Tamandua tetradactyla: one gene and its partners. The protein of the gene in region 3 purifies or fractionates together with the protein of the main gene of each other region. This does not show direct contact. Links are inferred from orthologs where the notes say so. Each region holds a gene or a part of one and is shown on either strand. Other genes may lie near its edges. The genes, in order: TFIP11, MRPS26 and SNRNP70.

Region 1 (3,820 bases), on a different chromosome or scaffold from region 3:
TTTAGAGTCATGTACATCACCAGAAGGAAAGCTAGAGGTTAAAACATAGGTCTGCATAACATGGAGGTTAAAATGTTGTGGACAATGTGATAAACAGTACAAATATAAAAAAGCTGTTTCATGAACTAGAGCAAATATATGAGACTATTGCAAGGAGTTAATAATAAAGAGGTATATGGGGAAAATGCACCTATTTGCAAAGTATGAACTACAGTTAATACTGATCCTGACACTCTTTCCCAATCCCCTTTGTGAAAAAGATATAGCCTCTGTGGAATGGAGCCCACAGGCTACAGATGTGAGCAAGGGCAAGACAAACTCAAATCTGCTCCACATTCTGGTCAAGTGAACTGCACCAGCTCACACCTGGGCCTCCACTGGGGAAAGGACCTGCCATGTGAATCCTCCATCTCGCTGTCCCCATCCTAGCCGCAGCCTTCTCACAGAGCTTCCTCTTCCCCTGCAGCTCCAGGCCCACCCTGCACACTAACAAAAGGGTCTTCTCAAAGCACAATCAGCCCTACATCACATCCCCTCAACTGCAGCCTCCAGGTCCCAGGTGACCTGACTTCCTGAGCTCCTCAAACTATGTTCTTCCTCCATCCCTCTACTCCAGGCCCCTCAACCTTTCTTCTTTTCCTGTGGATAAGCTGTTCTTTCCATCAGGGGCCTTTATATACCCTTGCCTCTCCTTCCACCCTAACTTTTTATTTTCATATCCACTCAAGGATCTCTTCTCCAGAGGAACCTTCCCTGATCCCCCAGAATAGGTCAAACACCCCCAAAATGTGCTTTTCTTGACAACCTGAATCACAGTACAAACTTCCATTTCTTTGTGTGGCATTAATCAATGCCTGTCTCTGTTCACTAGGCGCCAAGCTCCAGGCAGAAACTCCTTCTACAGCCCAAGCCCTGACACACAGTAACTGCTCTGGATAAACAATGACTGAATGATCACATCTGTGAAAGAATAGCACCTTTCCTGAAGAGGAAATTACACTTCCATAGCTGATGTCATAGCTAATGGATCTGTAAGGCCAGGAGAGATGTATACTTCCCTACTTCCTCCATCCTGTCCCCTTTCTCTAAAGCAAGGTGAAGTCAGTCCCATGTAAGCCAGTACCGTTTGCCTCCAAAGCTGGGCCTCTCCTCATCTGAGTCACGTTCTGCCCAAATCCCGTAGGTGGCCTCTTCCTTAGTCTGCCAGTGGCGGGGTCGGTTGGGGTTGAACTCATTCTGGAGATCCCAGTCGGTGATCTCAAAGTTCTCCCGCTCATCCTCGTCGTCATCTATGTGGCCTTCCCCATCCCGGTACAAATGGGACAGCGACATGGCCAGCCACTACAAGAATGGACAAAAAGTGCAGTCTGTGAAAAGTGCTGGGAGCAGCAGCAGAAAGCTTCCTTGTGAGTCCCTGTTTCTTGGTGCCTTCAGAACTTTTTCCAGACCCAAAGTCTGTTAAGATTATTGTTACTATTCAATTAAGCAGACATTTAAAACAGATCCATCTATGTGATTCTTAAAAAGTATGTATTTCTGTCCTAGTCAATGCCATAAAACATCATATGCACAGACATACACAAATCATACAAAAATAACTAAGTGTGTTATTCTGTATATTATTGCCTCAGAAACTGGGTAAATGACTTCCTGGACCCCAAATTTTATTATTATGTTTTCTATTTTTGAGGAAAAAGGTTATATCTGGATGCCTGGCCCACTCCCAGGCAGAATGGTTTTTTTGGAATATGCTTTTTAAAATAAATTTCCTGAAGACACTCAAAAGATCCTTAGAGCGGAAACTCTAAGTTTTCCTCTCAAAACATGGCCTCTTCTCCTGAAGTAGAAGACAACAGTTAACTATGAACACTACAATAACTGTGTGAACCAGAATAGAGAATTCACCTCTTGGTAGCCAGGTGATAAGATTTTGCTAGCTCTTAAATTAGGACTAAATGCTGTATCAACCTTTGAGAAAGCTTGTAAGGCAGATTCAGTGACATGGTGCTTTAAAAGCACTTAACTCACAGTAAGTGCTAAAGAACAACAGCTGCTACTATAGTGCCATGATTAGGTTCACCATTGCTACTGAGTCAATCCATCAAAATGATTATGAGTCACGGCCTAGGTTCAAATCCCAACACAGGTACTCAGTTTGTGAGTATTCGTGAATTTGATGGTGCCACTACAATGTCACACACTCAACAAGTGACAGTAATTGTGATTCTGGTCTACCAGTTACTGCACGCAGCCTTCACGTACAGGTAGGCACTAGAGTGTCAAATTCTACTCAGCTGTGAGAAAACTCCTGCTTCGTCTGCTCACCGCTCTGGGTAAAGCGTGTACAGGCGGCAAATATTTTCAAAGGTGGGGAGTCCCAGCTACATCGGAGTAAATTATACCGCTGGCACCCTGGGCAAATGACATGGTTACAATCTCAGAGTAGTTACGAGTTATAGGGCCATTGTAGGTGCTAAGTACTTGCTGGGTGCTGCGAGACGGTTTTCCAATCTAGGTATCGAAACACTTTTACGGGCAGGAACTATAACGTTTCCATGCTTCAGATGGAAAAATGAAGCTCCAAGGAAAAACTCCTCGCCTGTAGGAAAAACCTAAGGCTCGGGCCTTTCTCAACCCCGCTGTCCAGGCATCACGAAAGACACACGCCTTCCTGACTGGGTGCTGGCCCCCACTCCCTGGTGACCCCGAGCGGCCCCGCCCCTCCCCGGGCTCCGGCAGCGCGGTTTGCGAAGGGGAATCCGACACAGGCGAGGCCGAGGCTGAAGCCAGCCGTCTCCGAGACTGCATCCCCACTCCCGCTGCTACGAGACCCCTAGCGCCCTCACCTCTCGGATGGGTTCCCAGGACCACACGCAGCTTCCCACTCGGCGCCCTAAACACGCCACTTCCGCTCTCCAGAACCCGGACGTGAATAGAGCCGCGCACCGGAAATGACGTCCCTTGACATCGACAAAGTGGCGCGGTGTGCGGTAGCAACAACACAACGCTAGAGCGGCTTTCTTTTTCGAACAGCGGCGTTAAGATGCTAGAAGGTACATGGAGGTTGTAGCGCCCCGAGTGGCCAGGGAGTGCCTTTCCGGTTTTGTAATGCGTTATCTGGCCTGGGTTGACCCGTCGGGACGTCCCAGAACGACTTTGGCCAGAGACCAGCCTCAGACTGTAAATCTGGAGGGGACGCGACGGACATTCATATGGGGATAATGAAAGCCGTGTTTGCGTCTCCTGTATATTTGGGTCTCTCGGTGTAAGCATCGTCACGGGCGCAGAGAAGCTGCCTTATAAAAGGGGTTTGGGGGAATGAATGGGCAAACTCTTAGGAGTTCCCAAGTATTTTTTCTGGAAATTTTTCCATCCTTGATTTCATACAGGTTGATGAATTCATTCATTTACTCATCTAATTAAAAATGTACTGACTACCAACCTTGTGCGAGGCTCAAGAACGAATCTGGCACCTGCCTGGAATCCCTGGCTCCTCTGAGACTCTCTGTTGCCATTAGGAGCACACAGGCTCTGAAGTTCTGATCTCAGGCCTGCGAGTTACCAGCTGTAGAGTTTGGGCATTTCTCTAAACTTCATTTTTCTCCGCAAAATGGTTGAGGATTCAATGAAATCAAACAGTGTCAGTGTAGTAGTTAGGTTCAGGTGTCAGCTTACCCAGATAACGGTGCCCACTTGTTCTGTGGCTGGGCACTTAAGTCATCAACATGTGAACTTTATAAATAGCTGATTACATCTGTGATGGGCTAAAGGGAGTGCCTTCCGCAATAAATGAGGCTTAAAAGGAGAAGTTAGATGCAAG
Region 2 (3,820 bases), on a different chromosome or scaffold from region 3:
GAAGGGATGGCAGTTCCTCTTTGCCTTTTGTGTTCTGGGTCACCAAAGCCCAGCATCAAGCAGGGGAAGACCCTTGGCCAAAGGTTAGTTTGTGGCCCAGGGGCCAGGTGAAACCTGCTCCCAGCTGGTGCCCTAAAGATCAAAGGCCATTTAATATTTTATGCTTATAAGATCTCTGTTGCAACTACACATCTCTTCATTGTGTGAAAGTAATCAAAGAATGGATGTGGCTGTGTTCCGATAAAATTTTATTTACAAGCCAAGTTCAAGAGCGGAAACCTGCTTTATTTCATTTTCACTATATCTGAAGGGTTATGAGGAGCAAGGGGTGGGCTTCAACAGTGTCCAGAGCTGATCCCAGCTCAGCGCATGAAGAAGTTAGCTGTAGTTCACTGAATCCTGCTGTTGATGATACTTAGGATATAGTTTGGCTGCCTTAGGGAATGGTTGTGCATTCCACTTCTCTGTGAGATGTAAACCACTCCAGGGCTGTGCTCTGCTGAGAATTGTACAGAAGGGCAAATCAGGGCACTGTGTTTGGGAATTTCCAACCAACTGGTGGGTGCAGAAGCCATAAGCATGAGCTATGCTGGAACAGGCTGAGTCTTCCTCATAAGAAGCACCAATGAATTATTCTAGGGCAGGTCCAACCCTCCTACCCCCAGATACACATCGTCCCTGGGACTCAGGAAGGCACTGTCCTTACTGGGCCCCTAGGAGTCCCTGTGCTGTGGCTTGACCACCAATCCCTCTCTGGAAAGTGCCCAGTTGTAGCTCTTTGGCGAGTCCAATGCTTCTTCTATCCGTGCATCCAGGTTCTCTCGGGTGATGAAGTTTTTCACCTCCTCCTATTGGGAGAGAGAAGGCCAGCTGAGTGGGAGCCCCTAATGCCTGCCAGGCTTTAGACAGAGGAGGCGGCTCCAGTTTTCCGTCCAGGAGGACCATGTAGAGTCCAGGTCCTCCTTGAGGGCTGCACTGATCCCAGTGGCATATCAACAGGCAGCTTTGCCACATTCTTCTTTCTTGGACAACATTCCCTACAACTCCAAGTACCAGCTGTGACAATCTCATGCCCTGCTGGGTAGATTCAGTTCCTCAATGTTGTAATATCTCTCAAATTTGTCTTTCTACTTCTATGACTTTAATTCAAGTTTCACCCATTCTCTCTGGATTACTCCTAACTGGCCTCCCTGCTTTTAAGTCTCACACTTTCCAATCCTAGGAATATTTAACTCATCAATAACTTCAACACCTGCAAGACAAAATATGAACTTTTGGAACGTGGGGGTCCCTCCCAAAGACATCAACTTACCAACTGGTAGGCACCTGAACACTTTCAGTTCTTTACTCTTGACAGGTACTCTCCCTGCACTCCTTCCCTAAATCCTCACTAGACAACTCTCAAAACTTAAGGCTGCTCTCTAGACAGTTAATGTCCCCCTTCACTCTGGGGGCCCCGAATTTCTACTGCCGCCCTACGGGTCTGTCTCCTTAGCAAGCTGAGTTCCAACCTCCCCCGCTGGACCCTCTGCCTACCTGCAACTGCAGCACTTCTTGCTCTTTGTGCTGCAGCCAGGCCTGCGCCTCACGGGCTTGGCAGGCTTTCTTCTCGATTTTCCGCTGCTCCTCCTCCCGCGCCTCCTGCAGAAGCCTCGTTATCCTGGGAGGAGTAAGAGGCCGGGACTGAATGTGGCTGGGGTCTCTTCCAGGTCGGTCCAGCAGCCCGGGCCCGCCTCCCACTCCACTCACCGCAGCTCGTGTAGCCGCTGGTTCTCCGCCTGGTTCCAGGCCATCAGCTCCCGGTGCTCAGCAGCATCCTCCAGAGCTTTGCGCTCTGCCAGGATCCCGGCCCGGGCGTCGTGCACCTTCTTCCGCACCTCGGCCACGAACTCCAGCCTGGACAAAGACGCGCTTCAAGTCGGCACCCTCCTCGCCACCCCCACCTCAACACATACCCACCTGCGGGCGCGGACGGCCACCTCTCCCTTCCCTCACATACCTAAGGGCGCGCACCGTCTGGCGGTATTCCCGGTAACGCTCAGCTACCACGAAGAACTCCGCAGGATCCACCGTAGGCAGGGTCTTCACACGCCCGACCTTGGACTTGGCTGGGGGGTCATGGCGGGTCTTCCGGCCGCGCGCGGGGAGCAGAAGGAGGGCCCGGGGCCGGCACCCCTGCCGGGTGCCCAGGTAACCCAGCGCGCGCAGCATGGCTCGTTCGGCGCCCCACGCCGGATGCGCAGCCGTGGCGTCACCCGTGACCCGGAAGAGGTCGCGGGGCAACATGGTACATGTAGTCCCGGGGCTCCGCCTTCCCTGCTCACCTGAGGGCTACGCGGGTGTGCCCTAGTCCGATCTTCACCCGGTTCAGCCTGCTGGGGCTGCAGGCGTGGCGCTGCGACCTTGAGGACCTCTGTAGCCGGCCCCCCGCCACCCGGACTCTGCCGCAGGGACTCTGCCGCCCCACCGCCCCTCCTGCCGGGACCCGGCCCGCATCCTTCCAGCCCCCACGCGTAGAAGAGTCCCAGGCGGGGTTGGGGAACGAAGAAGAGAACTCGAGGCAACAGCTTCGGGTACCTGACACTTTTATTGGAGGGCGGGCGGGATGGGACGCGGCCCTCCGGGTCCGGTCTGCGGAGCGAAAGGAGCAGTCATCCCACCAACCGCTCTCCGTACAGTACCGCCGAGCTTCGGTCTGCCAGGTCCCCGCCCCTCCCCTCCGGAACGGACTTCTGAGAGCAGGACGCGGCCACGGCCGGTCTGCCTGCTTCTAGGTCCTGCGAACGCGTCTCGGTCTCCTAGAGGGTCCACCCTGAACCCTGCCCTTAATGATGCTTACGATATGATCTGGCTGCCCTAGAGTATGCCCCCCATCCCGCCCCCAAGTGGTCCCTGACCGACCCAGTGTGGGGTTCTTCAGCTCCCTGGGGCTATGGCATTGCCAGCCCTAAGCAATTCTAATATGCGAGAACCCGAGCTCACACTGGGTTAGGCGATGAGGCTTTGCCTTATAGGTATTTTTTCATTGTCTATTTACTATGCACCTCTGGTAAACTGTGAAATATGTTCATTTTGTAAGATAGTAATAAATCATATGCCTGCACTTGCTGTGGCTGCGGCTGCTCTCCAGTCACTGAGCCGCATGTCAGTGACCTGGTCCTTGGTCCTGCTGCCTGTGTGTGAGAGGTGGCACCCCTCGTCCCTTTTGGCTGCCTTGTGACACATGGCTTCCCTTGACTGTCAAGAATCCTAGAGAACTTCACTTCTGCCATCTTTTACTTTATCATAAGTATCTTATCGTGAATTGCCTAGAATTCTCCTGGGAAATTTGAATAGTAGAGGACACCCTGCTCTGGATTCAACAGGGGTACAGAGAAACAGAGCTGGAGGGGTGGGATGTTGTAGCAGGGTGCATCCCAGTGACAGCTCATTTCCCCTCCCATAGCCCCCAACCCTTAGCCATGGTGACCACTGATGACCAGTGGCTGGGCTTAAATGCTGGGGCCTCTCACCTCACTCACCAGTAGTGTCTGCATCAGGCTCTGCTTCCCGCGGAGGGACCACTTTGCCATGGCCCTGCCCTCCCAAGGTACACTGTTCTCGGCGGGAGCCAGGGCATCACTGGAGAGGCTATGGGCAGTCTGGCCTGGGCTGCCTGCTGCTGTGCCCAGGACCTTTCCTCAGGAGGAAGCCTGGGCTACAGCCGGCCCATCCCCAATCCCAGGCTCGGGGTAGGTGGAGCTGGAGCACCCCGCACCCACCTGGGAGCTGAAGGGCATGCTGGAGGCCCATGGGTGAGATAGAGTTTCGCTTTCCTCCA
Region 3 (3,600 bases):
ATAATTTAAGAAGCACTGCCACAGATGACATCAAACTTAAGAACAGAATGTCATCTCCCATTTTGGGGAACATCCTGCATCTCACAGCCCCCAAGCATCATTCCGAAGTGCGCAGAGTGCCAAAGGCTGCTCTGTGGAGTGATGAGAGGGCCCTTCTTTATGGACGCCAAGAAGCAGGACCAGGCTTGAAGCAAAAGGATCAGACCGTGCAGGGTCCAGAGGCAAACAAATGGATACCACCTGAGAGGAGTCTGTCAGAGTCTCCCCAAACACTCATTAAATGACACATAACCAGTATCATCAATGGGAGCCACTGACCGTATCCATTAAAGTTGCTTAATTGACCAACAGCATTTCCCAAGTACCATTTCACTGAAGGTGGCAATTTCCACTAAAGATGCAACTGTCCTATCATCTTATGAACCGCTGCTCTAAAACTCTCTCTACCTCCAGCTGCCCTTTCCCACAAGGATGAGAATTCCCAGCCCAACCACCCAGTGCCAGAACTTTCTTCTTATGACTTCAGGCTGTGTACCACTATTTCTCAAGTGTGGTTCGATGCACCTTAAAAGATGAGTATTGTTATCCCAATCTTTTGAACGAAAAAACTGATGTCCAGAAGCTTAAGTCACATATTCAGGTTTAACCTGGAGGTACAGAGCTGAAATTCCCAAGCCTGTGGCCTTAAGCACTGGTCTAAGTCTTTGTGAATGTCATGCTATTAATGATAAAATCAGTAACTACAATTCAAATGCTAACATTGCTGACTGCTTGGTGTCAAGCCCTATGACACTAAGTTTTGCCATTTAATTCTCTGTCACTCTTATGAGGAAAATACTATTGCCCTCTTGCTAAAAATGAAAAAATCAAGGCAGTAGGAGGATACACCACTTGCCCAAGGTCACCTACTGATAAATCCTGGGTGTAAAAGTCTACTACTTGCTGAACTTTCACACTAACCCTAGAAGGGACATATTATCAACCCCATTTTAAGACAGGGACACAGAAGAAAGAATAAGGCACCAGCTCGAAAATGGCCTGACTGGATTCCTAAGTCCAGCCCAATGACCTCCCCAAAACCTAAACCACTCCTTATCCCAGCAGTGAACTCACCTCAAACTCTCGGATGTAGGGTGCAATGCCACAGTATGGCTGATTGTGGTGCTTCTCATGTGGCAGTTTCTCCAAGGGTGGCAGGTACGGGATGGGGTCACGTGGAGCAAACAGGGCCAGAAGGTTGGGCGGCAAGAACTGGGTCATCTTGCCAGGTCTGAGGGTAGAAGCAAGAAGGCCCTAAGTTAGGATAGGTTTTAACTCTCAAGAAAAAGAGGAAAACAGAACACTGGGTTTTCATGTCACAGGGAAAAAGGAGTAAATCCGAATGAGAGGGCAGGCAATGGCGGCTCAGTGGCAGAATTCTCGCCTGCCATGCCAGAGACCCGGGTTCGATTTCTGGTGCCTGATCATGCAAAAAATAAATAAATAATAAATCCGAATGAGAAAGCAAGTTCTTGGGAGGAGGAGGGCAGGGGATTGGGGATGAGGCCACTAAGGGAAACAAGGACTGGAAAAGGGTTTCTGAGTAGACAAGTTCCCTAGCAAGGGGCTTGTAGGGAAATCAAGGACCCTGACGAAGAAAGAGCAGAGCAATGGTGCCTGGTGGTCTGTACCGTGGGGGACAATTTACCGAGCAGGGGTCGCGCACAGATCTTGGAAGTAGAAGTCTCCGATCAAAGGGAGAGAACCGTAAATAGCAAACCTATCAAGGTAGGGGCTTGTGGGTAATGGGTCTCAGCCTTCAAAGGCGAAAGGAATTATGGGTAAGGGTCTAGGACGCTGCGGAAAGGCCAGAAAGGAAAAAAGGCAACACCGCAAAGATCTGTAGGTAGGGGACCGCGGAGGGCTATGGGAAGGGGGCCGTGGGAAGGGGGCCCAAGCGACCAGAGGACTTTAGGTAAGAGGTGCACCAAAGCGCTGAGCCGAGGGCGCGGGAAGAGGGCCCGGCCGCAGGAAAAGGGGCTAGGGCCCACCGCAGGGCCTTGTGGGTAGCAGCCCCGCTCCCGATAAGGCCAGTCACTCACCCGCCGCGCGGCGCCCTCCTCGGCCTGGCGTCGGTCCGGGGCCTCGCGGGGGCTGCGGCAGCCCCTCAGTAGTAGGGGCTTCTTCTTCGGATTCGACTCCGGCAACGACCGCGTCTGTCTAGCTCTACCGCCGGCCCCGCGCGCGCACCAGGCTGCCGCTCACGAACCCGCGCGGCCTCGGCTCCCGATGGGGGCAGGGGGTGGGGCCCCGCCTCGGATCCCTCCGCTGGCTGCACTGCGCACGCGCCGCGCGAGTCGCGAGCCCCTCGCACACAGGGACGGGACACAACGCACGCGCGCGACTGCTGCCCCCGCCTTCGGGTGCCCTGAACGGCTTTGCCGCGGCTGACTGGCTTCCGTACTGCGCACGAGCGAGCCGCACCAGCCACTCTCTCCTCCTCGCGCTCTCTGCCCCAACCGCTTCTGTTCGCGAGACTCTTCTGATACTCCGCCCCTTCTTTTTAATACTTCCCGGAGTCTGTGCGCATGCGTAGTAACGTATTACATGTACCCTTCCGCCACTTGGCAAAGAGTTCCTACTTGAGAAGTGGTCAGCGGGATGTCTAATCTATTCGGTCAACAGCTTTGTCGAGCGCTTGCAGTCTGATAGACGCTGTTTGGAACGCTGGTGAACATATAGCATATGGCTAATACAAAGCCTTTTATCTCATGGAACTTACATTCTCTTGAGGGGAAGACAGTAAAACATTTAAATGAAGAAAATAATTCTAGATGTGGCCGGCACGATGAAGGAAAATAGAGCAGAGGAAGAGGATGCAAAATGAGAGCGGGGCTATTTAAAAGAGGCATGCCATTCAGAGGTGACCTTTGAACAGCAAGTGCCAAGGCCCTAGGTGAGGAGCCATGAGGGCACAGAACTGGCAGCCATGTTATTTAGGGCTTTATATATCTTAACGAATTAACTGTTGCAATTTGGTTGTATTCAGTTGCCTATTTAATATAATAATTACAGAAATTATTACCAAATTTTAGTTACTGAGTTGGTTTTAGAGATGCTTGAGATTGAAGCAATATTTTTTAAAAAGTTGACATATTTGCTTTACCTGTTTGTGTGTATCCGCTTCCTATGTTTTGTTTTCTGAACTTGAAAGTAAATTGCAGCAGCATTTCACCCCTGAATGCTTCAGCATGAATTTCCTAAGAATAAGGACATTATATTCTGCATAACGGTTTCTCCAGACAAAAGCAATGGTGATTGATGTATTTAATGCCCAACTCCGGAGACACCGGGTTTTCAAAAAGATAATTTATTGCTATGAGCAAAGCAGGAGATCAGATGGCCTATTGGCCCAAAAATCTGTCTCCCCAAACTGCAGTAATTCCGATAAGTTTTATAGTATCAAAAGATAGGCAGGTTTAGAAAAATGAATATAATGGCCTGAGATGACAGGGTTAGAGATTATCTAATGACGGAGCTGTGCAGATTGATTACATGCTTAGTCACAGAATGTATGTAAGAAAATAGCGAACTTGATATGATGATGGGTGTGATATTTAG

Evidence for each region.
Region 1: the proteins of SNRNP70 (region 3) and TFIP11 fractionate together in Homo sapiens (co-fractionation; 3 studies listed by BioGRID, with this or other methods). This does not show direct contact. The link is inferred for Tamandua tetradactyla from reciprocal best matches to the Homo sapiens genes SNRNP70 and TFIP11.
Region 2: the proteins of SNRNP70 (region 3) and MRPS26 purify together in Homo sapiens (affinity purification with mass spectrometry; 3 studies listed by BioGRID and IntAct, counting the BioPlex papers as one, with this or other methods). This does not show direct contact. The link is inferred for Tamandua tetradactyla from reciprocal best matches to the Homo sapiens genes SNRNP70 and MRPS26.

What each region holds. Positions count from the first base shown.
Region 1 is NC_135331.1:36,079,227-36,083,046, forward strand, and holds the start of TFIP11 (tuftelin-interacting protein 11), read right to left. Parts: upstream 2,935-3,820; 5' UTR 2,847-2,934; intron 1,342-2,846; 5' UTR 1,333-1,341; coding exon 1,124-1,332; intron 1-1,123. UniProt on the Homo sapiens protein: Involved in pre-mRNA splicing, specifically in spliceosome disassembly during late-stage splicing events. Intron turnover seems to proceed through reactions in two lariat-intron associated complexes termed Intron Large (IL) and Intron Small (IS).
Region 2 is NC_135327.1:24,890,040-24,893,859, reverse strand, and holds MRPS26 (small ribosomal subunit protein mS26), read right to left. Parts: upstream 2,248-3,820; 5' UTR 2,212-2,247; coding exon 2,000-2,211; intron 1,897-1,999; coding exon 1,750-1,896; intron 1,661-1,749; coding exon 1,537-1,660; intron 849-1,536; coding exon 714-848; 3' UTR 707-713; exon of another isoform or gene 497-706; 3' UTR 232-496; downstream 1-231. Other genes in the region: progonadoliberin-2, read right to left, coding at 3,492-3,679, 3,762-3,820.
Region 3 is NC_135342.1:12,037,559-12,041,158, forward strand, and holds the start of SNRNP70 (U1 small nuclear ribonucleoprotein 70 kDa), read right to left. Parts: upstream 2,298-3,600; 5' UTR 2,082-2,297; intron 1,799-2,081; exon of another isoform or gene 1,688-1,798; intron 1,271-1,687; 5' UTR 1,261-1,270; coding exon 1,114-1,260; intron 1-1,113. UniProt on the Homo sapiens protein: Component of the spliceosomal U1 snRNP, which is essential for recognition of the pre-mRNA 5' splice-site and the subsequent assembly of the spliceosome. SNRNP70 binds to the loop I region of U1-snRNA.